Astyanax mexicanus: one gene and its partners. Each later gene encodes a partner of the first gene's protein in a complex. Links are inferred from orthologs where the notes say so. Each region holds a gene or a part of one and is shown on either strand. Other genes may lie near its edges. The genes, in order: cnot10, cnot11, cnot7 and cnot8.

Evidence for each region.
Region 2: cnot10 (region 1) and cnot11 share a complex: the UniProt entries of both Homo sapiens proteins name them as parts of the CCR4-NOT complex. The link is inferred for Astyanax mexicanus from reciprocal best matches to the Homo sapiens genes CNOT10 and CNOT11.
Region 3: cnot10 (region 1) and cnot7 share a complex: the UniProt entries of both Homo sapiens proteins name them as parts of the CCR4-NOT complex. The link is inferred for Astyanax mexicanus from reciprocal best matches to the Homo sapiens genes CNOT10 and CNOT7.
Region 4: cnot10 (region 1) and cnot8 share a complex: the UniProt entries of both Homo sapiens proteins name them as parts of the CCR4-NOT complex. The link is inferred for Astyanax mexicanus from reciprocal best matches to the Homo sapiens genes CNOT10 and CNOT8.

The regions. Positions count from the first base shown.
Region 1 is NC_064413.1:37,975,329-37,982,801, reverse strand, and holds the start of cnot10 (CCR4-NOT transcription complex subunit 10), read left to right. Parts: upstream 1-4,460; 5' UTR 4,461-4,651; coding exon 4,652-4,670; intron 4,671-6,474; coding exon 6,475-6,569; intron 6,570-6,855; coding exon 6,856-7,017; intron 7,018-7,118; coding exon 7,119-7,269; intron 7,270-7,473. UniProt on the Homo sapiens protein: Component of the CCR4-NOT complex which is one of the major cellular mRNA deadenylases and is linked to various cellular processes including bulk mRNA degradation, miRNA-mediated repression, translational repression during translational initiation and general transcription regulation.
Region 2 is NC_064418.1:327,383-334,262, reverse strand, and holds the start of cnot11 (CCR4-NOT transcription complex subunit 11), read left to right. Parts: upstream 1-3,876; 5' UTR 3,877-4,086; intron 4,087-5,113; 5' UTR 5,114-5,140; coding exon 5,141-5,459; intron 5,460-5,770; coding exon 5,771-5,935; intron 5,936-6,224; coding exon 6,225-6,377; intron 6,378-6,502; coding exon 6,503-6,705; intron 6,706-6,880. Other genes in the region: rpl31 (60S ribosomal protein L31), read right to left, coding at 458-570, 1,097-1,222, 1,400-1,506. UniProt on the Homo sapiens protein: Component of the CCR4-NOT complex which is one of the major cellular mRNA deadenylases and is linked to various cellular processes including bulk mRNA degradation, miRNA-mediated repression, translational repression during translational initiation and general transcription regulation.
Region 3 is NC_064417.1:45,486,969-45,493,917, forward strand, and holds the start of cnot7 (CCR4-NOT transcription complex subunit 7), read left to right. Parts: upstream 1-3,944; 5' UTR 3,945-4,021; intron 4,022-4,052; exon of another isoform or gene 4,053-4,276; intron 4,277-4,589; exon of another isoform or gene 4,590-4,851; intron 4,852-4,878; exon of another isoform or gene 4,879-6,034; 5' UTR 6,035-6,128; coding exon 6,129-6,245; intron 6,246-6,334; coding exon 6,335-6,528; intron 6,529-6,949. Other genes in the region: mtmr7a (myotubularin-related protein 7a), read left to right, coding at 686-1,048. UniProt on the Homo sapiens protein: Has 3'-5' poly(A) exoribonuclease activity for synthetic poly(A) RNA substrate. Its function seems to be partially redundant with that of CNOT8.
Region 4 is NC_064424.1:17,742,750-17,750,160, forward strand, and holds the start of cnot8 (CCR4-NOT transcription complex subunit 8), read left to right. Parts: upstream 1-4,411; 5' UTR 4,412-4,542; intron 4,543-5,300; 5' UTR 5,301-5,377; coding exon 5,378-5,494; intron 5,495-6,739; coding exon 6,740-6,933; intron 6,934-7,205; coding exon 7,206-7,367; intron 7,368-7,411. UniProt on the Homo sapiens protein: Has 3'-5' poly(A) exoribonuclease activity for synthetic poly(A) RNA substrate. Its function seems to be partially redundant with that of CNOT7.

The DNA of each region.
Region 1 (7,473 bases):
ATGATTTCATGACATTTCCCACCACGCAGCAGCAGTTCCACAAGAAATGGACTTTAGACTGGAGGATGAACAATATACTTTTACACATAAAGTATTTAGATATAACATCAAGCTTTACGAAAATTCACTTATTAAAACTGCCTCAACTATTTTATTAGATCAGGTTGCTCTTACTGATTATGTCTAATGAAAAGACACAAATCTATGAGATGCAGATTCCGCACATCTTAAATGCCACAATTCTTATTGTCTAACCAGAGTATAACGAAGATAAAGGAGCCTGTATCACCAAATTACTCTGTAACGCTGATCCACATTCTCCTCCTCCTGGTTTATCAAATCACTCAACTGCTCCTACACTTTAGGCAATCAGTGATTTACACAGACAGAAGCTGTGGCAGTTGAGTGATGGTGTTCGTCTCCAAGCAGCTGTGTATTTAACAGAACACTCTCTGCTAAAGGCCAGGGATCAGCTCTATAACTTAATTTGTTTCTGCTCTTTCTCAGTGCCCTCTGAGCCCAATAAAAGCCTTTCAATGACTCCATAACGACTTCCTCGTCTACACAAGTAACAAAGCCTAATTGTCTTGATTGTATATTACAAACAGTAAAGACACAGCCCCCCACCACAACCCTCATGCCTACATTTAAACAGTTAAGAGCTAGTCTGGCATTACACAACACAGTGCTATTGAATTTATATGTGTTTAGATCAAACATAAAACTTAAAATGTCAGGTCTATTAAAATGTAATCTTCCTTGGCCTAAAAGGTATATAAGGATCATTGAGGACAAGAACAGCGCACTGTTCCAACATATGCAAGTGTTTAAACATAAATTAATTGACACTAGCTGAACTTTTCAGGTGTGAGCCACGTTCAACTTGAGCAGCCTTGTGACTCCATGAAAGAGGAAATCAGAAAAAACACTGGACTTAAGAATACAAAAAAAATAATAATAATAAATAAAAACTTAAATCATAAGACCAAAACAGTGTTAGAAAATAAGAACATTACAAATGATGTTTATTCTCTATTATATCACCCTTGTAGCATGGAACAGGTACTGTCTGAGAATGTATTGGCATTGTATTAATTCTAATGTGTATCATGTTAACAATTCATGCTTCCTAAGTATGGACACTGAGTAAAAGAAATAATGTAGTAAGCCCTATTTTTTCACTACAGAGACAATCATTAAAACATGTAGTTTAAATATTTTAATGATTGACCTGAATATTCAGGTTATTTGTACTATAGAATTCAAACAGATTGCATAAATGGACTTGCCATGTCTGAGGAGGATATAGAACTACTTTTTAAATGTATAATAAAGAACCATCTTCAAAAGGTTTTATTAGTGTTTATTAGTGTTCTGCTTAAATCCCCACCTCACATGTTGCTACCTTATAAAATCCTGAAAGAAATAAATGTGCTTGCTGCTCTTAATCACACTGGAAATGTTTATTGCACCAGCAGAGGCCTTTCATGCATCATATTATCAAAGCGAATAAACAAGCCAAGTAATCATCTGTTTGGTCTTTTGGTAGTTTAGAACCTTTTGGTCTGTCTGAATTCTGCCACGGCCAGGCTAACTTTTCTAAAAATGACGGAGGATAATGAGTCATATTGTCGGAATGCTCCAATTTTCTGCAGGCCTGGAGAGATGGATCTGTCATAGTTACGAAGCCTCAGAATAACCAGACACGCTCCCAGGCAATCAATCATCCCTCTTCCTCTCAAACTTCTCTCTCTCTTTTTCGCTCCCTCCTGGTGTCAATTAGTGAGACATTTTCAAGCTCTCTAGGTACTAGGCTCAATTAGACTAATTGAAGTCAAAGAGGAAAATAAACACTGCGGTAGAGAGTGTCTCTCGCAGGAGGACGTGGCAGCAGTGTTTTTTTACACTGAGAGACACACACTTTTCTTTTAACACAGGGCTCCTGTGGAGTGACACATACCTGATGCTTGTAGATGGCTGCCCTTTGTGCCATCAGTACCTGTGTTAAAGGTGGTGTTCATTGTATTTTATGTTTACATACTTACTGGCTGATTTGTAGGCACCTAAACTTTACATTACTATCAATTAATATCCATTGCTGTTAAAACTTTACAATGGTTTAAATTATTAAATATTACTAAATCTAAATTCATTCATTGGAAAATATATATTATTCAGACTGTATAGACATGTCTTCAATTACACTGACAAAATTATCCTTGTAATGCTTTTGTAGAGTAACCTATGTTGTTCTATGTTTGTGACAGAAATATGAAACTTGAAATAGTATCCTGACATAGTACTTGACCTAATTTTGACATAGTATCCTAAATCAAATTTGTTTTATCCCTGTTTTGATATATACGAGCATAAATCCAGATTTAACAAAATACGACCGCCAGCTAATTAAGAAGTATGAAACACAAAAACAACATTGTTTTTTTCCCCTTTAGATGGTCTAAACATGCTGCACACAAACTCTCTAAACTCTTCTCAGTACAGCGCTGGCATCTGGCCAGAGTGGGTATTAAACTCCCAAATCTAAAGGTGGGCATTATTTTACGAAGATATGTGGTCTTGCCAGAGGTGGAAAAAGTACTGAAAAATTGTAATTAAGTAAAAGTACTGTTACTTTGCTAAAATTCTACTCAAGTAAAAGTAAAAGTACCCATCTAAAAATCTACTTGAGTAAAAGTAAACAGTACTCAATTTAAAATGTACTTTGAGTAAAAGTTACATAGTTACCTATTTTAAAAACTACTTTAAAATTACAAACAGCTCAGGGCTTGAATTAAACCACTCTGTTGGGTCATCTGCCTATCTTGGTGGAGACAGAACCAAGATATGAGCCAGATGTTAAAAAAATCCAGAGTTTAACCTAAATGTATAGGACCATGCTCGCCTCAATAGATGTATTTTCCTATATACAGGATATGAACTATTTCTTAAGCCATTTGAGAAAACAGAATGCCTACACAAATCAGTACACTTATGCTTGGTTTATGTAATATTTTTGTATCTAACTGTTCTTCACCTGTCTAGAAACAGGTTTACTACAGTCTGTAATTATAGAATTATATAAATGCTCCTATTTGATAAGAATAGCTGACAAAATGGAAAATAAGGTGTATTTAAAGTTTTCTTTAAAAAAAACTGCCTAATGGTTAACTAAGTACATTTATTGCAGGCTCCACATCTCTTCTTTAAATTACATAACTATATAATAAAATATTCACATTCAGACAAAAACTATAAGCTAGTTAGCTAGTTATATCCAGTGTACTAGGTTAGCATTGTTTTGCAGAGTGACAGTGCTAGACTTGTTAGCTATAATGTTTATTAGGGTTTATGAATGTATAAATTGAATTATGATTTACATTTAGGGTAAAATTGTGGCCATTTAAGTTAAATGTTCTAGCTAAGGCTCTGACTTGCTAGCTTAACAGGTAACATTTAACCTAAGGTTAGCTAACTACTATCTACCAATCGTGGAACTTAGTTTAGTGAATGAAAGCTATTACAGTTACGTTTTATTTTGACTTGGGTATAATAAATTAGCTTAGCTTAAAAGTCACACTCTTGATATAGGCCATTATCCTAAAGTCGTAAAGTCAAATGATTTGAACAAATGAGCGTGCAGGCAATTTTTAAAACAGGTGGTCAAAGAGCATCATGAGGAGATGATGTAGGCAAAAAAATCAAGTTTGCCAAAAATAGAGAATTAAGTCTGGGCAGAGATAGTGAGGAAACATTTACAAAGCATATTTTTCTACATTTTGTATTCTATTAAAAAATATCAAGAACTATCAGTGTGGTAGAAAAATAAACTGTTGATGGGGACAAAAGTTGTGAGTCTGATAAATCACAGTAATGATATACACATTATTTTTAATGTAATATGTAATATGTATTGTATGTAAATTCCACTAGAAGTATGATAGGAAATAAACTTAAAGATAATCTAGATGCAGTCTTGCAAATAATGATATCCAGTCTTTGCAAAATCTTATCCTGTGACTAAAAGGTCTGACTAGTCTTTAGATGTGAGAGGGTGTCAGAATTTAGTCTGTTAAAAGTCTTTTGACTAACTACTTGACTAACTACTTCTAACCTCATTTCCTTCTTCTCCTCCTCTACTCCTATATCCCATTATTTCCCTTTAATCTCCTTTAGGCCCTGTCTAAAGTTGTTTTTACCTTTAACTTCTATTACTTTTGTACTTCACTATTGTCTGCCAAATGTAATGTAATGCTTTGAGAGTCTTTTCAAAGTCGTGTAGTGTATGGACAGCAAAACTCCTACCAGGAAGAGAAGGACCGTCAGGCTGTTTGTGTTTGGGGGTAAACTCGGATCTGTCGACATCTAGAGTTCACTCTTAGAGTCTTCTTCCATCCTATCATTCTCTCCAAATGATCACTCAGTGTTTCTCCTCCTCCACACCGGCGGATGGCGGACTGCAGCAGCTTGTGCTCTAATTCTCATTACAAAAATCCTGGATGAAGCGAAAGCAGAGCAGTAGCAGCGGCTACGCACTGATGAACCCTGTGCTGGATCTATATATAAGTTAGATAAACGGAGAGGATCTGTGTGTGAGAGTCTGATCACTGGAATTAACACGCGTTAATTCATACCAGAGAATCACTGGCAGGACATGGCTGAGAGCGGCTCAGGTAAGCTGGGTTTATTTATCAGCACCCAGGGAAAGGGTAACTTATCTGTCTACCGCAGTTAGCTAACTTAGCTAGACTGCTCGCTGAATATTTACCTGTCCCTGTCAGACTAGTAGATCAGCGCTGTTGTGAAATTTAACCACCAGTTTCTCTTCTGTATTCAGTTAAAGTCAGCAGCAGCACAATCAGCTGTGAACAGTATAAACACTGCAGCACACAGAGAGGGCAGCTAGCAAGGCTAGGCTAAGCTAAGCCAACATGCTAACTAGCTAGCTAACCTAAATAGCTAGGTACCATAGCAACCTTGCACAGTAGCTAAATTAACAGTTTCAGTCCTTTAGCAGTGGACGAGAAGTAGAATGTAAAGTTTCATATGTTTATTCCGCTATAATATAACGATTTGTGACCGAACTAGTTAGCTTAGCTAAGTATTTGAGAGTATCGTCAGTATCGCTAGTTAGCTAACCCCCTAACCTGACTCTCACTCATTTTGCCCTTCACAAAATCGTTAAAAGCGCTTTATTTTAAGTATCTGCATTAAAATGAACTAAATTATTAAATCATTTACTTGTGAAATGAATATAAGCTAAATATGTAAATGTGTAGAGATTTAATCGAATTTAATCGAGGCTAAGTCTTGCATTCCTATGCGGGTTTTCCCGTCCACCTTAAATTCTCCTGCAGAGCAGAGGTTTCGCCTGTAGGTGGCGCTGATTTCACCATTAATTAAAGTGAAATCAGTCTAAAACTGATTTATTAATTTATTAAAAAATATATTATTATCGTTTTAATCAGCTATCTAAATACTAAATATGTAGTATTATATGAACATATAATTTTTGTTTTACACTTTTTAGTCTTAGTTTAGGTTATTACGGTTTTGCAAAATGTATAATCACATAAGAAAAAAAAAAGATAAAAAAGAAAGAAAAATAGAATAAACACAAGTCCTGCATTTAAAGAAATCACATATAGACTGAAAAGGTATAGGTTGAAGCTTTAGCTTAATTTGCCTACCCTATTTAATTAACAAATACACATATTTTTTTACAGTGTAGAGACCACGCTTTACACCACTGACAAACATTTATTTCATAAAATCTTCTTTTTTTTTATATCTGTCCTTCAATTCAATTCAGTTCAATTTTATTTATATAGCGCTTTTTACAACAAAGGTTGTCACAAAGCCGCTTTACAGGAAAAACAGGTCCACGCCTCTTATGAGCAGCACCACAGAGATGCCAATTTTATGGTGACACAGTGGCAAGGAAAAACTCCTGTCCTTGCTCTCCATCCTTTAAACATAAGTATTCCACCAAGTTCAAACTTTTTATAGATATAATGGTCAGTTTTTAAGGTACAGAAATTGTGCAAAATGTTAGTGCTGTATGTCTGAGCAATAAGCAAATGATTTATAATTTATTAAAATAATATTTTTGTATTTAAATAATACTTTGGGTAAGGTGATGAAGCTACTACTACAACTACTTCTAGTGCTACTACTGCTAATAATAACATTATTATTAGTATTAGTGGTGGTACTTGTCTTGAGATACTGCATACAAGGTATATGGTATTTTCTCTATGCAGCAGTAAATCTTAAATTTAAACATGTATTGATGTATCAAAAAGCCTATGGTGAACTCGACAGTGCAGAGCTAGAAGCAGCAAACGACACAACAAACCTGTACAAGGAGAACATGTTTAATCATTAGCTCTTAAGCATTTAGAGGTTTTAGTTCTGCTGTGTCTGTTTAAGTCAAACATTCCAATTAACTGCTTTTAAATTTTATTCTTTTTCAAGACCAAGTTGGTGACATGAAACATGACAACGCTTCTTCCCCTGGAATTTCAGACCAAGAGAAGGAGATGGCCACGAATGCTTTTGAAGCATTTACGGTATTGAACTTTTACATTTATATTTAACACTCATTCCTGCTTAAAAATACAGCTCAAAAACACCTGGTAATCCAGAAAAAAACATACTGCATGCCACTTAAGAGCTAGTAAACAAGCTAGCCTACCAGCATAGGATATGCTGTTTTTTTTTTCTTTCTTTCCCCTCAGCTGGTCTTGAGGTGGATTTTTATGTTTGATATTTTTAGCAGGGATTCCTTACATATGTTGTGAAGTATTACCTGTACTTTGTTCATTACTCTTTACTGTATTGCTCTTGTCCCCTTAGGCCGGCAACTACGATGATTCCTTAAAACAACTCGAAAGTCTTCAGGAACTGAACAAGGAGGACTATAAGATAGCCCTGAACAAAGCTGTTGCTGAGTTCTACAAAAGTGGGCAAGCAACCACTGGCACGTTGAAGCAGACGTTAATGACAATAAAAAATCAGGTGAGGAAATACTTTTACATTTTCAATTAAAAATGTTCAAAAACAGGGCCTTGTTTTTCTTAAGCCTGTTTTCTGATGGTTTTCTATCTTTTTATTTGTAGGTTCATACTGCGGTGGAAGACATTGATGGTTTAGATGATGTAGAAAACAGCATCCTCTACTACAATCAAGCCATCATTCACTACCACATGCGGCAGTACTCTGAAGCCATATCTATTGGGGAAAAGCTCTACCAGTTCCTGGAACCGTTTGGTATGTTTCTGAATTTTGATTTAATTTCTCAAACAAAAAACTAACATTATTTGTTCTAGGAAACTTTGTTCCTGTTTGTGTGTATTAGTGTCCAGTAATTCATATTAAGAGTATAAGAATACAGTTGAAAAAGAAAGAAGTCAAAAGAAAACTAAGTATACAGAATAAAACACTTGTACATTCCTGATAGCAATGTTTCACAGT
Region 2 (6,880 bases), on another chromosome or scaffold:
CAGAGGGAAAAAATGTGGTTTTAGCTTTAATGCAATCTAAAATGTCCAGCAGGTTGCACACTACAGCTAATCTAATTTTACTATTTATCAACAGTACTAATCTTAAGAGCCTGAGACTTGTGTCTTTTCCACACAATGCTATATCCACACAGTCTGAATAAACAAACAGCTGAAAAAAACATCTGCATTAGTGAGTTCTGGAGATTTAACAAAAATAAATCCTAAATCCCTCCACAAAAAGCATGGCGTTATCTCCTGCTGAAATCAAACATGCATCAAACCTCACCAGTAAAAACTGCCTTACAGCAGGATTTCTACTTTTATCTAGATAACTTAATCCTCTTCAATAAAAGTGATTTAATTAACGACTCCTCAACTTTTGGTGCACACTTTGCTTTAAAATCTACACAGGCTGGAGTTAACGCAGTCTGAGATGTTCTCCACAGCTGAATCTCACCTTTGTACGTGGTGACTGGAACGTATGTGACGAGGGTGTACAGTTTGTTGGGAGAATCTTCGTCTTCATTACGTTTCCTGGAGAGACGCACGCGCATGCGGTACGGGACGTTCCTGAAAGGACAAACAAAATCACTGAATTATACTGAGAATAGCATTAACAAAATTACACCACACTCCTACCAGTGTTTTATTTATCACCATTCTGGAATTTCCCAGAATTTGGGCTGATTACATTTAAGAAAGGTGTTTTTTTTTGTGACAGACTACAGGAATATGTATAAATTTATAATTTATAAATATGCATATCAGCATAAAAACACATGTAACATCATACAGCATTGACCAAAATTCCCACATCGTGCATCTCCATTTATTTGTTGTTCTACAGCTTCCAACCAGAGGACAGATTCCCTGTTTTCATTCTGGTTTCTCTGGAGGCTTCTTCATGAGTTAAAGGAACTGTCCTGACGTCGTCACCAATTTACCAAACAAAAACTGGACTCAGTTCAACACTTTCAACCTCTTTTGGCACTGGTAGAGCAACACGCTGAACACAATCTATAACAGTTAACACACAGCTGTTTTCCCCACCCCTGATCTCTATCCCAATTTTGATGATTTAATAGGAGGTGGTTACCTGACTCCTTTGGCCCAAACTGCCTTGTTCAGACGTGTGTCGATGCGGACGTCTGGGGTGCCCATCTCCTTCATGGCGAACTTTCTGATTTCTTTAATAGCACGAGGTGCCCTCTTCTTGAAAGAGCTGTGGTGAAAAAAAAAACAGTTCTTTTAGAACATGTGCAGCACGTACAGAACTGTATGATGCTACAGATTCATCTTCATCTAATGCCTTTAAATCACTTACAAACTCAAACACCTCTTACTGCCTACTGACAGCGTCTAAAACCCATTAAACAGGACATTACGTCACGTTACTCACATGCCATGAATGCGTTTGTGGACGTTGATGGTGTACTCCCTGGTCACCACCTCGTTGATGGCAGAACGCCCCTTCTTTTTCTCTCCTCCTTTCTTTAGTGGTGCCATCTGTAACACATGAATCATTTATAAATATTAAATAACGTGCACTGGTTCAGCTTGTACATCAGCCACCTTATTATACTCAATATTCTCCCACTATGTTTAATAACGCAGCTTCTTTTTATGACCCATTGACTTAATGAACTTGTTTAGCTGCATTATCAGGATGCTCTTCAGATATGCAATATTCACTTAAACGAAGACTAAAGAAATGCACTACTAACCCCAATTATACTTAACTATAAAAAATAAGAAAGGATCACTAAAAATGGAAAAACTTTAGTTTCTTAGTACTTATTCAAGACCTGCTTGGTCTCTTCACTAAGTGCTGCACTTTATATTGTTATTGAACAAAAGTTATCATTTTACTTGTTGTGTCCATTAAAGATTTCACATTAATACTTGCTCAACTGACATTAAACTAAACATATTAAACTGAATATCTGTTAAATGCAACTGAACTTTTAATACTCACTGCTAACATTTGCCAAAAACTTAGGATATTGGATTAGGGTTATGTGCATTATTAGGTTAAGCATCTACAAAGCATCAATAATGGACCATCAATGGACCCCCAAATGTTAAAGTTAGTACAGATGTGAGCCACCAAATGCATGAAATGTTTACTTTTAGACTCAAAGCAGATCAGAATGCACAACACTATCCTAATCAGGAACCACTGTGCTGTAATTTGTAAAGCATTTTTTTATGTTCCATTTCTACACTGTTAAATCATGCAATACTAGCATCTCTTAGGATATATGTGACTCACTCTTACTTTTAGTTCTTGTTAACTATCTTGTTAACTATCTGTTGTTCCGACAGTTACCTAAATTAAAGCAGCAAATTTTAAACTCTGAATATAAATACTGCGGATAAGGAAAAGGAACAAACCACATTTTTGGAGAACTGTCCCTCACACGGACCCGTCACTTTTTACTCATTTCACAGCCAATAACGCATCCTTTAACCAGAGTGAGTTAACTCACTAACTTAACGCGAATTCTACATTTAAACTGAATTTTAATTAAGACAGCTTTTCTCCAATATAAACCCAAAACAACACGTTTATCTCCGTCCGCAGCGTTCACTCGCCACTAGCTAACAGCTAACCGGCTACACAACTATCCTTCACATTATCGGCGCAAACACAACTTTTTCCCACCCAAAACCGCCCCAAATATAACTGTAGTGATACTTTAGCTTTGTTAGAACTGTAATATATGAATTTGCGGCAGATTAAGTGTTTAATCTGCGCGGATGGAGCTGGATTAAGAGCAGAGCTCGGCTCTGAGGTACTCACTGTTCAGGACGAGCCTCGGAAAGGAAGGAGAACGGGCTTCTGGGTAATACAAACTCTACATCCGGGTCACCGCTCCACAGCTATAATCACATTTTAAACACTTTAATCTTCATAATATCGATAAAAATATAATAATACATTATAACATTAAACTGGATGAATATTCTGAACCCGAAGATTCAAAGTTTGTATTTGTATTTAGTGTTTAAGGGCTGAATAATAGTTGACTAAAACAATCCAGACTACAAGTCCCATAATGCCCTACGACACAACGTCTAATCTGCCGGGAGTTTCATTGTTTTTTTTATTTAACTATTAAATGTACAGGTGTGAATGTATTATTTTCAATACTTTTCAATCTAAAATAATAGAAAAACAATAATTAAATAAAAATAAACATCACATACATTATTACAATAATTAATAATAATTCATTAATAAACATCACCGATATTAATACACATAGCTGATATAAATTAATGTAACACAAATATATATTTTTAAACTCACAGTTCTTTGAAAATAACCTTCAATAGTTTGATCAATAGCCTGACACCTTGACAGGTAACATTAGTTCTCAGGTAATCAACGTGTCCCATCAGTGTCAGGATGGCCGAGCGGTCTAAGGCGCCAGACTCAAGGTTCAGACCTTCCTGTAATCAGAGGATTCTGGTCTCCGAATGGAGGCGTGGGTTCAAATCCCACTTCTGACATAACTTTTCCAGAATTTCCCCATGAGGATAAATAAAGAGTATATATATATAAATATATTACAATATAATATAGTTTGACTGATTGTTTAAGATAATGAGTTTTTAACGTCGAATTAATTGCTTGTTTATTATACAGTTGTTTTAGCCAATATAATATTCCATATGTCCATTTAAAGAACAAATCACACTAATGGATTAACAGTTGATTAATAAAAAAACTAAATATGAATCCCTCTACACTATAAAAATGAAAATAAAATCAGTAAATAAATATATCAGCTCATTTAAGTTTAAACGTATATATATATTTATGTCTTGGTTCAGACTCCGGGTCAGTAGGCGGCGGTACTGCAGCTCCAGCCGGTCTGTGTCGCGCGGTGACCCGGAGAGAGAAGAAGACCCGTCCCCGGGTTTGGAAGTGTTGGGAGTTATTTTGTTGTTTATGGACAGTTTTTTACTCTTTTTGAGAGATTTATCTTTATTTCTGATGTTTATTCCTGTTTTAGTTTTATAAATGAAGATCAGAGAGATCTCAGAAAGCTCCAGGTCTTAATGAACCCCGGGTTTAAGGTAAGTTATTCAGGGAGGGTTAGATTAGCGATTTCATACAGATTCGGTCTCAAAATCGATTTAATTTTATTTTCCGTAAAACAGGGATAATTTATTAATTGTTAGTTTAATGTGTTTAATTTTAATACAAATGCATGAGTTTATAAAATGCACACATATGGGTAACGTATATTTCTTATCTAAATCTTAAACAGTGATGTTTCCTGTATTGGGCAGATTATGGTTATCTATCGTTAGATTAATATTCTGTCTGTAATTTAGTTATATAATGACGCTAAATAGCTGATTACTGTGGGCATAATTTAAGTTAAGCACCAAAAACTAACATAGTTTAACCCCTTCAGTTCTCTCTGACAGGATACCGGTAGATGTGTGACTGGTGAACTAGTTAACTATTCCGATAGGACTAACAATTATTTCGATTATAGATTAATCATTGCCGATTATTTTCCGATTAATCGATTATTGATTTGATAAAATGTTATTTAACCCTAACTGCATTAGTTTTTATCTATAATAGGATAATGGCTAAATAATGGTTAGAAAATAAAAGTATTAACCTAACACTAATCAAGTTACACTTTGCTTATATAACCGAACACCGTGGTTGGTGTGGTGCAGTGGATAACACAACCCACTGCCAGTAAGCTACCATCTGGTCTGGGTGACTTCAGAATGCTGCTCTACACCAATAAGAGTCCTTGGGCTAGACTCCTAAACTAACACTACATTGGTCCACCTCTGTAACAGAAATAACCACTGACTGTATATTAATTCAGGTTTATTCCAATAGTATATAAACTGTCACTTCTGAGATGTATATTTTGTATTAAGCCCAACAATACATAAACTTAAAAACTAAAAACAACTTTCAAACAGATGGATCAGTTATAATGATGATAATTTGTTAATAATTTGATTATTCCTTTGTTTATTATTATTTTTTATCTTTTTTTTTACTTAAAATTATAGCAATAATTATAACATCAATAATTTTATTGTTTTATTTCTTGTTTTATTGTAACAGTGGTGATCGATTTGCCAGAGTGAAATCATGACCCTCGCCCCCAAAGAGCTGTCCAACCTGCTGGGCATCATCTCGGAGGAGGCGTGTGGAAACACCTTCGAGAGCCTCTCTAATGCCTTCCATCACTGCTTCGGGAAGGCTGAGCACTTCCGGGTCGGCTCGGTTCTGGTGATGCTGCTCCAGCAGCCAGATCTGCTGCCCAGTTCTCCTCAGCGTCTCACTGCTCTGTACCTGCTGTGGGAGATGTACCGCACCGAGCCACTCGCTGCGAACCCGTTTGCTGCGGTCTTTGCTCATCTTCTTAATCCATCTGTTTCTGGTGAGGAGCAGGAGAAACCTCTGTCAGGTAGGATTCAGATTTATACTGAGTTTAAGGAGCTGCACTTTCTGATTTACTGTTTGAGAACACACTGTAACACAGTATAGAGAGATACAGCCCATGTATGTGATCACAGGATAAACCAACAAACTAATATTTGTTAACTACCTCATTAACCTGCAGTTTTAGGTGTGAATACTATTGATAAATGAAGTATTGATTAAAGAGTATGGAGTACTTTGTGCAGCTGGAGCTGTAAAAGCTAACCTGCGTGATTTGTTTTGGGAAACACTGTAGTAAGTCATTTACACAATGTTAAATATAATTATTTTTTTCAGGTTTCCTCCCACCCATCACACTGCCGGAGAAGTTTTTCCTGTCTCAGCTGATGCTCGCTCCTCCGCGGGAACTGTTTAAGAAGACGCCGCGGCAGGTTTCCTGCATGGACGTGGGCACGGCACCTCAGGCCATCGACATTAGCGGCCTGCAGCTCGCTCTCGCTGGTAAAAATACATGGTTATAAACCCTGTAGTAATTAAAGCCTTATTGTTTTGTATTATACATACTCCTGACAGTAGAATAAGTCACCTATATAAAAGTCAAGCAAAAATATAAATTAGAATAAAAAATACTGTGATGTACCATAAAACTGCCAGAATCTTGAAAAGATTTAAGTAGTGCACCAACGTAGTGTATGTTGGTCAAAAATTGTTATGTATAAACAGTATATTAGAAGTCTTTTTATTCTAATAACTGTTGTATAAAATTCAACAAAAATGTTGTGTGTTCCAGAGCGCCAGTCTGAGCTTCCTACTCAGAGTAAAGCCAGTTTTCCCAGCCTGCTCAGCGACCCTGACCCCGACTCCTCCAACTCTGGCTTTGACAGCTCTGTGGCCAATCAGATTATAGAGTCTCTGGTCACTGGACCACGCCCTCCACTGGAGAGTGAGTATCGCAGGATCCTGTAAAGTAGTTTAATTTAAGTTGGAGGCAGTTTTATTTTATGAATAATAAAATAATGCATTCTGAAGGATGAATTCTGTAAGACGTGTCTCTGCTCTTCCTCTCAGGTCACTTTCGTCCCGAGTTCATCCGGCCGGCTCCTCCGCTGCTGGTGTGCGAGGACGAGCTGGCGTGGCTGAACCCGTGCGAGCCGGAGCACCGCGTGCAGTGGGACCGATCCATGTGTGTGCGGAACGGCACGGGCGTGGAGATCAAGCGCATCATGGCCAAAGCTTTTAAAAGCCCTCTGTCTGCAGCACAGCAAACGCAGGTAATGCAGCAGTATCCCTGCACACTACTGCATGTTCATATTCTGACCTAAAACGTAAGGGCATGCTTAGTTTTTAGAACTGGTTCAAATCCCGGTCATGCAGCTTGCCATCAGCTGCTGGAGTCCTGAGAGAGCACAGTTGTCCTTGCTCTCTCTCTGGGTGGGTACAGTACAG
Region 3 (6,949 bases), on another chromosome or scaffold:
AATGGCTGAAATAACAAAAAAAAGCAGAGCTTTCAGACCTTTATATTTATATTCATTACGTTTTATTAAGAGTTCAGAAATCAGTATTTGGTGGAATAACCCTGGTTTTTAATCATAGTTATTATGCATCTTGGCATGTTCTCCTCCACCAGTCTTACACACTGCTTTTGGATAACTTTATGCCTTTACTCCTGGTGTAAAAATTCAAGCAGTTCAGTTTGGTTTGATGGCTTGTGATCATCCATCTTCCTCTTGATTATATTCCAGAGGTTTTAAGTTTTTACAGAGCTGTATTTAGTTATGGTAGTATATTCTTTACAATAATAATTGGACAACAGCAGTGAGGGTTTCAGTGCAGAGGTAACAGACCCCACACATATTTGGACTGCTGTCTCTGTTGCCATTATAATAAAAGGCTTGTGTCGCAACCACTCAGTATTTCTAAGGACATGACCAAACATATATTTTGTTATGGTAATATATTCTTAAAAATACTTATACATTTTTCAGAATTTTGCCATACCATATCATACCAAGAAAATTGTTCTCACAAAAATACACTAAAATATTGTAATATCATGTTATGGCCTTATCGTCCACCCCTAAAGGGAATTCAGTATTTTTTCTTAGGTTGCAGTGATTTGAAGCTTTTTGTTAAACGACTGAATTGTGTGTCTTGTTGCAGAAACTCGCTGCCCTGGGTAAAGAGCAGGTGAACGGTGTGTGTGTGAATAAGCATACAGTTAATCAGAGCCAGGCTCTCTGGGCTCAGCCAGCACACATAAGCCTGGCCAACACGCCTCAGGATTACAACGAAGGAATTTTAGGGAGCAGTCCTAAAGATTGGTCCCTCCAGCAGAAGGAGACTGAGAGCACGGGGCTCGGCCTGTTTGGAGTCACTCCAAAAACCTCAGACCCCGACAACAGCGATCAGGAGTCCGGAGTGGCCGACTTCAGCGGTCACTCCTCCAGCGGCGGGGATTCATTTCCGAGTGAAGACAGTGTAAAGGACGCTGATTTAGATGAAGCTGCTTTTAATACTGTCTAAAAACGTGATCTATAATAAATGAAAGCCATAGCATTCCCATTGGGGCCTGTGCAATCATGCTACATACTACATGCTCCATTTCAAATGCATAAACATGCATAATCAAATGTATTTATTGTTGCCGGTGTAACAAAGGGAAGTGTTGATTTATTTATTACAATATTTATGACATTATTTCATTTTGTATGTGCATGAAATGATTTGCAGTTGTAAACCCGCATGTCACAGCGTAGCAACATGCATTTTAGTGATGTGTGACACAGATGTGTGATATGTGTGGCAGTGTAAACAGAAAAAACACACTGAATCTGATATTATTATTTCCAAGATCAGAATTCATGCAATTTTTACATAAAGGAAAAGGAAAAAAGAGCTGTGAGGACAAAGGAAAATGGACAACAGCATTGAGTAAGGGGTTTCAGTTGTGAGGACAAGACCTCACAAAAGTTTGGACTGATGTCTCTGTTCCCATAATACTAAACACGTGTCACAACCTCCCAGTCTTTCAAAGGACATTCCCAATGAGCCAAAGAGTTTCAATGGTTCTTTAAGTGAACATTCCCTAGTTAGAAAGAACAGCACAAGTACAATTATGTCAGTCTGCAACTGTGCTGTGTTGGTGAATCTGTGCTCACTGCAGCCTCAGCTTTCTGTTCTTGGCTGACAAAAGTGGAAATATTTTTCGTTTTACAGAATGGTTATCTGGGTTATTCTTAATAACTCAATAACTGGCAAAGTAATATCGAATGGGTGCATTAATTGACAAAGTGGCGAACAACAAATTGAGTTAAAATTTTCCGTATGCAAATTAATTTCAACAAGATAAAGCGATATTCACAATAGCCTGACAATTTTTTTCATAAGCCCTATCCAGACGGGATTCGTTTTTCAGGGGGTCCTGGGGTAATTTTCTCTTTTGATTTTTTTCTCTGTGATTTTTTCCCCCCGGAATGACTGTATGTGGTTTTCTCAGACGTCCTCTGATACAATTACAGTCAGAATTACCTGTTTTTGCTGAACTCCGGTAATTTTAGTCCCGTCCGGATGCACATCTCTGAGTTTCGTCACCTCTCATTTAATAAACTAGTTGAGTATAAGTGTGAAATATTTTTTCACAGATGTCCCCTGAGAAGCGAATCCCGTCCAGATAGGTCTATACATGCTCTTCTATCTGAACATTTGGTTCTGACCAGCATTTCATTCTTATTTTTTTACAATGTTTTTCTGAACAGGAAAGAAAATCATAGTTGTTTCTCATTTCCCCTTGTTATGATGCAAATCTGCACATTTACAGGGACAGTCTGAAGAAAAATAAAATAAAGCGAGAGAGAAATTAGCAGATACTGTTGGTTTCTCTGGTTGGTTGGTCAGTTGATACGTAGCTTGCTAGATTAGCCAGCATGTTAACAAACTATACTAACACCTGTTAACACCCACACACAACAACACAAGCTGCCTCAAACACACCCAAAAGAGACCAACTTGGGGCAGCGTGAGCGACTTGTTCTTTGCCAGTGTGAATACAGGATTATGGTAGCCAGGGTTATGGTAGCCTTTCTGTCGTCTTGAACCATCTTGAACCAGCATTCTCTGTTGACCTCTCTCATCAGTTTTTTTTTTTTTTTTCTCACAGCTCATAATCTATGATCATAGGCCAAAGATGCTTCACTTCACACCATAACAACCTACAGTCTGAACACACACTATAAAAGTATTACTGAGAACAAAAGAATAATAAATAATAAAGACAATATATGAGCAGCATATTATAAAGCACACTAGATGGTCATTGTGGAAACTGCTGGAACTTATCTTCACACTGGTTTATTCAGATGATGTTGGGCATTAATTCTCTCATATACAGTAATTGAAAATATGCATGAAAAAATGCAGTGTAAGCATTATATACATTTCCCTGTGGATGCTGAGAGGTAACTCTCTGTTCTCACACTTACATTACTAGTGCAATTGTACCTAAACAATAAATAAAAATAAATAAAGTTTACATGTGACCTCACCCTCTTTGGTTAGGCATTTGTTTATTTCTATTATATATATATTGGGAAACTGCAAACATATACACTACCAGTCAAAAGTTTTAGAACACCCCCATATTTTCCCTGTATTTTTGCCATTTAAACTGGCAGGGCCTTTAAGAAAAACAAATTAACAAATATACATATAAATATATATATATTGCAAAAGCATATTTTTAAAAAAAAATTTACCAGACAATTGATTGGTTAACAGCTCACAGCTCTTATTAACTGAGCTTTGAAAATGTCAATTTAGAAATCCTTTGTCTGTAGTAAAGTCATTATTTTGAGATACTATGTCATTATGTTTAAATACTACGTTGTAATTATGAGCTGCTACCTTTTTATTTTGAGAAACTAAGTCATTACTTTGAGATACTAGCATATTTTCATATAAACACGTAGTATCTCTTAATTGTGACTTAATATTTTAAAATAAAAACATAGAATGTTAAAATAAAGACTTAATATCTGAAAATAATGACTTAATAATTCAAAATAATGACTTAGGATCAAACATTATAAACATGATGTCACCTTAGGGGCTCCGTACCTTTTTCGCAGCCCCTGATGTATGGAAGCCCATTCCCGCCACCTAAACAAATGGGCTTCCACACTGATGTGATGTGACATTATGTAAAAAATATATATATATTAAAAAAAATAAAATAAAATGTGTGGCCCTAAGAGGTGGCCATGGCTTCTTACAGAGTGGGAACAGAATAATTAAGTCCTGGCAATATCCTCTCCAGGCACTCCCTTAATTAACTAGGGTTGTAGCCACGCAATAGGATCTCGTTCTAACGCTTTAATAAGACGTGGCCACGCATTATTATTATATATATATTTTTCCATCCTAAAGCTGCTGCACCGTTTTATACCCCTGTTTGAAGCCGCGCCGCTGCTGGACTGACTCCAGACTCCGTGACGCTCCAAGGTCAGTGGCGCTCGTATCCCGGTGTCGTCACGCGGTGCGCGGCGGCGGCGGCGGCGGGTTGTAATGGAGCCCGAGGGGCGGCAGCTGGCTGCTGATGTCGGGGTTAGATTAATAAACTGTGTGGCGGGTTTGGTGGAGCTGAGACCCCAGTGTTGGTGAGAGTGTGAGCGGGACAGCCGCGTGCTGCTGAAGCAGCCAGTGCATATGAGTGTACTATAATAGAGGAGAGAGAGAAAGAGAGAGGGAGAGAGGGAGGTAAGTAAGTGACTGAGAGAGAGAGAGAGAGAGAGAGAGAGAGAGAGAGAGAGAGAGAGAGAGAGAGAGAGAGAGAGAGAGAGAGAGAGAGAGAGGGGGAGAGCTGGAGAAGACCTGCAGCACAAAGTTAAGGGGCTACAGCTAGTTAGCTAGCTGCTGTGTGGGGCTAACAGCTCCTATTAGGATTCGCTAGCATGCAGGAGGGAGCCTCGTTAGCTTAGTTTAGCTTAGCAAGCCGGTGTCTAACGTGACAGATATAATATACCAACACCAGGCTGTCCTGCTGCACAGCTTTCTGACTGGCAGGCAGGTGTCAGGTTCTGTCGGCTGTTTGTTTGTGGGTGTAGTTTGGTGTGGCAGCTAGCCTAGCCTAGCCTGTGGCTGTTAGCTTAGCTAGGTTAGCTGCCTTTAGGTAACAGTTAGTCACCTGGTTTGTTTGGGGGCGGTAGCTTATCTTTGTGTTAACTAGCTGTTTAAATATGTGTTTGTTAGCTCACTAGCTTTTTGGTAGCTTTGTTCTGTGGTCATAATAATCTGGTTTAGGTTGATATGAGGTAGATAAATTAAGCTACAAGGTAAGTTAGCTAACTAGTTAGTTAACTAGCTAGATAACTATTTAACTGGTTAGTTTTTCGTTTGTTAAATGACTAACTAGTTAGTTAATCTAACTATTTGACTATTAACCTAACTCATTTTTAGTAGCTAGGCTTTTATTATTAGCTAGCTGTTTAAACCTATATAAGTTAGCTGTTTAAGTAACTTATGTGTATGTTAGATGGCTAGATTAGATAGCCTTGTTTTGTGTTAGTTAGCAAACAAAAGTAACTGCTTTCTGGTTAGACAACACAGACCATAATGATCTGATTTTAGGTTGGTCCGAGGTAGATAGATTCAGCTGCAAGGTTAACTTAAATTGTCAGCTAGTTAATTAACTAGTTGGTTACTAAACTACCTAGCAGGTAAGCCATACCATACTTGGCTAACCAACCTAGTAAACTTAATTCTTATTTAAGTTGCAGTAAAGTAGGGCTAGGCGATTTGATAAACACATTACTTTAGTTATGTCACTGTATTTACAAATAAGCCCTTTTTTCAATACACAATATTTATCTTGATATAATCACATAATCCCAGTAAAAATTTGGGATGCACCAATATGGGAACTTTGGGTAACTAAGCTTTGTGTTTAGATCCAATTATTAGCTAGCTGTTTAAATGAGGTACTAGATTCATTAGCCAGGTACTAGGTTCAGATGAGGTCATGGTATGGCTTACGTGCTAGCTAGTTAGGTTAATTTACTAGCTAGTTATTTAGCAAAGAAAAATAACTGCTTTCTTGCTATGGTATGAAGTAGATAAATTCAGCTGCAAGTTAGTTACCTAACTAACAGACTTACTAACTACATAACTAGCTAATTAACTAGTTAGTTAACCTAAATGACTAGGTAGTTAGTTGACTATACAGTTAACTAACTAACTCGTTAACTAGTTTATAACCCTAAATGACTAGCTAGTTAATTGACTACATGGTTAGCTAACTAACTTACCAACTAGTTAGTTAACCTAAGGGCACTAAAGGGCACCCAGGTCATTTGTTGTGTCGCATTCTGTGCTATAAATGTGAATGGACAGATAGAGTATTCCGCTCACTATTTCTTTTGACTGAAGGTTGTATCTAGCATATTGTAAGTTAGCATTCAGTGTCACACTTTTGCTCATTTTCTAAAAGTCTAATATATGTCCTCCTTTTTTGCACAGGTGTAAATAAAGAATTAGACCCAAAATTCTACGAAATTGTCCCCAAGGGAGCATTTGTTTCATTTTTTGATGCCTTCCATTTGAAAGTGGCACTATGCCCGCAGCCACTGTGGATCATAGCCAAAGAATATGTGAGGTGTGGGCTAGTAACCTGGATGAGGAGCTGAAGAGGATTCGGCAGGTCATCCGAAAATACAGTTACATTGCAATGGTGAGCCTTGTTTTGTTTCGCCATATACCATTTACTTAAAATCTGCAGTGTTTCAGTTAATCTGATTTGTTAATTTTCTGTGTTTGTAGGACACAGAGTTTCCAGGTGTAGTTGCGAGGCCGATTGGAGAGTTTAGAAGCAATGCAGACTATCAGTACCAGTTACTGCGGTGTAACGTTGATTTGTTAAAGATTATCCAGCTTGGCCTTACCTTTATGAATGAACAAGGGGAGTATCCCCCAGGAACTTCAACATGGCAGTTTAACTTCAAATTTAACCTCACGTAAGTGCAGTATTTCTTGTGTGAATATACTACACTTTAATTCAATGTCTTGTCATATTGCCAAGAGTATTGGTATTGTGAAAATACCCTACCAATATCATGATAATATTGAGGTAAAGATGTGAACAGAAAAAGTGTAAAACAAACTGAAATATGGTTTATACTTTAGATTCTTCAAAGTAACACTTTTTGCTTTGATGCATGCTTTCCCCACTCTTGGCATTATTCTCTCAGTCAGCTTCATGAGGTAGAGCCTTGAATGGTTCTCCAACTGTCTTAAAGGAGTTGCTAGAGGTGCTGAGCTCTTGATAACTGCTTTTTACTTCCCTCTGTGCTCCAACTCGTCCCAAACCACTTGGGTAGTATATCTGGTTCTTATATCAGGTGTTTGAGAAGGATGAACACTTTTGTTTTGTCTAGT
Region 4 (7,411 bases), on another chromosome or scaffold:
CGGCAGCAGCAGAGCTGGAGTTGAGAGCTCGATGCTTCAGAGCTCTCAGAGCCTTTCACTCGCGTTCCCCTGCACACTACACTTTAATAATGCATAGTGAGCTTGTTACGTAACTCTGTGGATCTGTGTGTTTATCCTTTCCGACTCGAGTCCCTCTGCTGCAAACTGAATTCTCACACTGAATTAATTCAGATCATTTCAGCTCAGTCCAGTCCAGTAGTAGTCATTCAGTTGTGCTTATTGGAGTGATTGGATAGGTATATGTATAGCCCTTAAAAAAATTGAGAGATCACTTCTTTTTCTGAATCAGTTTCTCTGATTTTGCTATTTATAGGTATATATTTGAGTAAAAATGAACATTGTTGCTTTATTCTATAAACTACGGACAACATTTCTCCCACATTCCTAATAAAAATATTGTCATTTAGAGCATTTATATGCAGAAAATGGGAAATGGCTGAAATAACCAAGATGATGCAGAGCTTTCAGACCTCAAATAATGCTAAGAAAACAAGTTCATAAAAATCAATATTTGGTGGAATAACCCTGGTTTTTGATCAAAATTTAATGCAGCTTGGAATGTTCTCCTCCACCAGTCTTACACACTGCTTTTGGATAACTTTATGCCACTCCTGTTAACAAATTTAAGCAGTTCTGCTTGGTTTGATGGCTGTGAGCATCCATCTTCCTGTTGATTATATTCCAGAGGTTTTTAATTTGGTAAAATCGAAGAAACTCAAAAGTTTTAGGTGGTCTCTTATTTTTTTTTTCCAGAGCTGTATATACCCAACTGGCAATAATAAGTAGGGATAGTCTGGAGGACAACTTGTATAAAGCACTACTCAGTTAATTTGTGTACATGTAACTACACTACATGGAATTTAGGCTCCCCCTGCTGGTCCATCCTTAGCATTTACACTAACTGATGCCCCTTTTTTCTTTCTATATTTTTTTTGGCTGTTGCCAGCAATAGGTTCCTCCTGTCTCCTTCCAGTTCTGAATTCCAAACAACCACTAATGCCTTTGTAATAATAATAATAATAATAATACTCATAATAAGCACTCGACATGCGGAATACTTTTTAAAACTACAGCCACACTCCTATATACTCCCTATTTGTACTTGGAAACTTCATGACTCAGCACCAGCCAGCTTATTTAGAAATTCCAACAAGACAAATCCTAAAGCCTTCAGTTTAAGTCCCAGCATTGCACACACGTGCATGTGGCGCCTGGTGGTAATATTCTCCGCCCAGGGACGGGTGCGTGTGTTCAGAACCCGTTTCTGCTCTCCTTGGGTGACCTTTTTCTTGCAGAAAGAACTGGACACGTGCCTTTGACCCCTGTGAACTCCAACTAAATTAGTTTCCCCACTATACTGTTGTTTCCTTTGCCTTGCACCTTGAGATATAAAAGAAAAGACAAAGACAAAACCAGCAAATACTGTCCCAGTCAGCACCTTTCCATTCAGAACAAGGCCCATTGGAAAGAATTGAGTTGAGTCTGAAAGCTTTACATTTAACCAAATATCTCTAATGCCTCTAGTTTGAGCTTTTTTATTTAAAAAAACAAACAAACTAATAAATAATGAGCACCAGCATTCTCAATCATCTCCCAGCTCAGGCTTATGAGAGTTCAGAGAGTAAGGCCCAGACTTCTGGGAAGTTTTTCTTTTCTTTTTTTTCTAAATCCATTCTCGCTTGGCATTCTGTTTTGCCCCTTTTTTTCACACAAGCTGCGTTCCAAATTCAAGGCTGTGTTCCGTGGTGGGGTGCATTTTTTTTTTAGCCACTATACGTCATAGAAGGCTCCTTTGTATACAGCTAAGATATGCACCTGACATTCAGGATGATTTGAAGGACACAACTGATGTATCCTTCATTATAGCCAACAGTCACCCACAAATCAATGCATACATTCAGCAAAAATTGCAAAAATGGTGGGAAATATAGACTCTTGAGCAGAGTTAGCTTTAAATTCAGAAAGTAATTCTTTAGAAAACACTCCTACTGAGGATCTACCCTACTTTGACTGCAGCCTATAGTTTGGAACGCAGCTACAGATTGTAGATTAGACTAAGTTACTGATTGCTCTAGGCTCATTTGTGTAGGCTTCTCCAGATCCACTGGTTCAGTACACGAAGTTACTACCACTGCACACCTGGCCCAGGGCCTTTAAGCTACGGTACAAACGAAAGCATGAAACTGAAGCCTTTTGGAAAAATCTTAATCCTTTACGTATTTTTGTTTTGTGGAATGTCCGTCTGTTTGAAGAGTTTGGAGACGAATGTGAGGATAGAAATGTTTCCCTTTAAACAACCTGCACTGTTGTTAGCAGCTGAATGTGAATTGTTACATGGAAACACTACACTCTAGTTTTCTGTAGTGAACTGGAAGAAGAACAGCACACGGTTAAAATAAATAAAGTGGCAGCCTGTGGAGGATGAGCGACCCTTCCGATCGACTAGGTGCTCTTTTTACTCTCTGATCCAAGGCTCTGACACGTCGCTTATCTAACACTCTGTATGTGTTTTTATGTTCTGTTGACTGTGCGGTCATTGTAATCATGTGCAAATCATGTAGGACTCGCTTTAGATAACCATGAGATTAAACAAGAAAAAAAAAAGAGAAACAAATCACCATCAGTAACTGATGCTGGTAGTGATGACTGATTTGTCGTTCATGTAGACTTACAATAGGATTCTTGTTTTCAGAGCGTATTTTTGATTCTTTTTAAATCGGACGTTTCAGTGCTGATGGAAGAAGAACTTGGTCTTTCCACAGAGGCGGATTGGAGAAAATACAGCATGTATTTATTGCACTTTTGTGATTTGGGTGTGCTGTTTTTCTTTTCTTGTGAGACTTACGAAAGCTGTGAATTTTATCATCAACACTGTACTGTCAACGAAAATTGTAAATATGTCACCAGCACAAGAATATGTTTTGTAGTTTCACAACAAATATAAAAAAAAGTTCTTTTCTTCTAATCCCCAGTCTGTCTGTCTTTTTTTTCCTTGAGTGCGAGTTTCCTGAGTTTACATCCAGATTAAGCATCTTAATAGAAGTATACATACACTAAATATAGTATTGTCCCATGGATGTAAAGAATACTGCTCCTGCACTAAATGTGGATATGAATCAGTTGTCTATTTCCACAGACATTTCTATCCAGATGCCACCAGTCACAATAATTATCCCCTATTGCATTGTCCACTGTGGGTGGTAATGCCTTCTATGATATTTTCCCAGCACACCTGCAACATTGCAAAACTTCAGAAATGCAATAAACTGTCATCGATTATCAGGCCCTGTATGTTGCCTTGCCATGAGCACACTGACCAGTGTTTGTCCCTCACAATATAACACCTCACAGACAGAAACAACACAGAAATAACATTTTATGATCAGTTTACATACTGCTCTCTTAAGTCTTTTGTCCGTGCATGTCAGCGTATAAAAATAAATGACATCTCATTAATTGAATTCATGATTTTTTTAATTCAGTCCGGTCCCATTGCCACAGATGTAGCAAACCTGGGTATTTGAGCCACCACTGCATATTCATCCATAATAATAACTATGGATTTAGAATACTATCTTACAAAAGGATAAATTATGTTTAATTCATACATCAGGAGTTATAGTAGCTAAGTAGCTAAAAAAAAATAACCCAATGTCTAGATAAGACCTGTTTAAAAGAAGAGCTAAGGAGCATGCCTAATGGACAGGCCTTAACTTTGGTCTTGTGTTATCAGTGTAACCTGAGATATATTTTTCAATAAACAACATGTCTCCAGGTTTACATAATTTGTCCAAAAAAAGCTTTGGGAAAAAATAAGAGACCATTTAAAAAGTTTATTTGATTTTACCAAATTGAAAACCATAATCAAGAGGAAGATGGGCATCACAAGTCATCAAACCAATCTGAACTGCTTGAATTTTTGCAACAGGAGTGGCATAAAGTTATGTAAAAGCAGTGTGTAAAACTGGTGGAGAACATGCCAAGACGCATGAAAACTGTGAACCAGGGTTATTCGACCAAATATTGATTTCTGAACTCAAAACTTTATGAATATAATTATTATTATTATTTTATTAATATTGTATTCTTTTTCTAATTGTGGATATTTTTTGCTTTGTTATTAATCTGAAGCCCAAATACTAAATGTGACAAAATAATAGTAGCTAAATTATAAAACCAATTTTAATCATATGGTTGTATTAGGAATAAAAAGCAATAATTATAAATTAAAAAAGTTATTTGTATTTGAAAAGTCAAGTGTATTTTTTTATATTTATATATATTTGTATTAATTTATTTAAGCGTATTTTCATTTTTATATTAATATTTGTTTGTGTTTATTTATTTAGACGTATTTTAATTGTTATATTTATATATGTTTTATTATTTATTTATTTATTTAAATGTATTTTGTGTGTTTCCGTGCTCTTAAGGCTTCCTGCTCCCGCAGCCCGTGTTCAGTGCTGGAGCGCTAGTAGCTGCTTTATCCGCCGAGCCTCAGCGCAGCAGAACTCCTGCCAGGTAAGCGAGCCGGACAGCGGGCTTCACACCTGCTCTACCTGCGGTTAACTTCAGGTTCCTGTTTTCTGGAGTTTATATTATTATCTGTTCGCGGTATTGTTTAGTGTGTGTTTGTGTATTGAAGCGTATCTAGGCAGCTAGTTAGCTTAGCTCACTTGTTTGCTAACGCTAGCTTAGCTACAGCAAACTTAGGCAGTCTGTGGTGTGAAATAGTATTAGTGGGCTAGAAGCTAAGCTAAGCTAATCAGAGGTGCGTTAGCTTGTTGGCTAGAGGGGGTAGAGTGTTTCATAACAGTAGGTTAGTTAGGTTAGCTTAGCTCCTTGTATTTGCCAGTATCTTAGCTTTTATCCTGTAGCCATATAATTAAAATTATATTTAAATACGTAGTTACTCTTTGTTCCTACCTGGCTAGAGCTACAGTACAAGCTAGCTAGGTAGCTAACTACGTAGCTTGACTAGCTAGCTAGGTTAGCTAGCTTCGTGAGCTATGTGAGCTGCCTCTTCAGTGTGTTGAACTATATTGTTTTTTTTTGTGGGTAAAACGTATTAATTTCTCAGCACCGTGTTGTTCACACAGTTTATGCACTTGCATAAAGGCAAAGCCAGCTTTCTCTAACCTACTTTCACACTTTTAAGTAGTGGTTTTAGCGTTAGGTAGCTAGATTATTTTAACAAGCTGTATTAGCTAACAGGGCATCTATCTAGCTTTGCTATGTTGTTTGAGCTTGGAGCTGAACTCAGGTGCGTTTCTTTCCAGAGTTCCAGTTTGCTTCTACCTGCCTGTGGCCGCTTTGGACTCGCCTGGGTGCTTGGTTGCTTCCTCAGCCTGCAACAATGCCAGCCGCACTTGCAGATACTAGTCAAATTATCTGCGAGGTCTGGGCCAGCAACGTGGAAGAGGAGATGAGGAAGATACGACAGATCATTCAAAATTACAACTACATCGCTATGGTATGTAATTTTTTCTCTGTGTGTTTTTTTTTTTAATAAATTCTGTATTTTGTTGTAAATCACACAGGCCTACTCAGTGTGGGCTCCATTACACTATAATGCTGTTCCTGTTTTGGTTGAAAGTGGTCATTGTAGCTTTTAAAAATCTTCTGGTTACAACAGGTTGTAAGTTTGAGTTTGTCCATACAGTAGACGACTTTGAAAAGACTTTTAACAGACTAAAGTCTGACCCCTCTCACATCTAAAGATAACTCTCACACTGTTTACTCAAAAACTGAGATTTTACAAGATCTGGGGATCACTATCTGCAAGACTGCAACTAGATTTTTTCTGAGATCATTTCCCATCAGGCTTCTGGTGGAGTTCACATACAATACCTATTACATATTAAGTTATAGATAATGTGTGTATCAATACTGTGGTTTATCAGAGACTCACAACTTTGTTTTAGATAGAATTAATGCGGTAAAGAACGTAATTCTTGCAAAATGTTTATTTATTGAACTTGTTTGTATCAAAAATAACACTGCACGATAAGATGAAGTAGTGCAAAATAAAACAATTTAAAATACAGTGTGCAGTTTTAAAGGGTTTAAAATACTGTACATATTAAAGTAAGATATATGTTTGTCGCTTTGATAAATGAAAGTCGCTTTGGACAAAAGCGGCTGCCAAATGTAATGTAGTGTAATGTAATGTAATGTTTGTAAGTATATTATAAAAAATATGTGTGTGTATGTATGTATGTGTGTGTGTGTCTGTGTGTGTGTTTGTGTGTGTGTTTGTGTGTGTGTGTGTTTGTGTGTGTGTCTGTGTGTGTGTGTGTGTGTGTGTGTGTGTGTGTGTGTGTGTGTGTGTGTGTGTATATATGTGTATATGTATGTATGTATAAAAATGTACGTAAAATATTCTTGACTTGCGGCTTCCCCTAGCTCTCCTGTTGGTTGTTGACATTGTTCACGTCACTATTTGCGTGAGCCAAGTCTAAGATAATATTAAACACGGTTGATTTTATCTGAGCACCAGAATGCAAAAAAGACTGACTAAAACTTTCAACTCTAACCACCTTACACTGAACGATTGAGATGACGAAATCGCAACTCGACTCTAGCAAAACTCTAATGATTTTATCACGACTCTGGGAATTTGTATGCGACAGTGAAATGAGGTCGACATAAGTTAGAGTTGCATAAAAGAATGGACGTTCATCCTAAAACCTGGTTTAATTTCTCTCTTCTTCACCAGGACACAGAGTTTCCCGGAGTGGTGGTCCGACCCATCGGAGAATTCCGCAGCACAGTGGACTACCAGTATCAGCTCCTGCGGTGTAATGTGGATCTGCTGAAAATCATTCAGCTTGGTCTAACTTTCATGAATGAAGATGGCGACTATCCACCCGGAACAACAACTTGGCAGTTCAACTTTAAATTCAATTTAACGTAAGTGTTGGTTATCCTTGTTTTGAGGTGACTTAGTTCAGGTCAATACAGGGCCTGTATTGTAAAGTCCTATTTAGAGAGCTTGGAGGGGAGTAAGCCTGGGATGCCAGATTTCACTGCTGAATCCTTACTGATTATGTCTGGGCTCCATGTTTGAGTTAAATGTTGCTAATCAGATCATAAACAGCCACAGCAGCCTAGTTATTAGGTGGAGGAATTTAAAGTTTGGATAAACCATTACACTAATTACCTCTCTCTGTTTTTTTAAATAGAGAAGACATGTACTCTCAGGACTCAATAGATCTTCTGCAGAACTCTGGTCTTCAGTTTAAGAAGCATGAGGAAGAGGGAATCGACACGCTGTACTTTGCAGAGCTCCTGATGACTTCAGGCTTAGTTCTGTGTGAAAATGTCAAGTGGCTCTCCTTTCATAGGTGACGAACATGAAGGAATTCTTCTTCTCAAATCTTTTATTTTT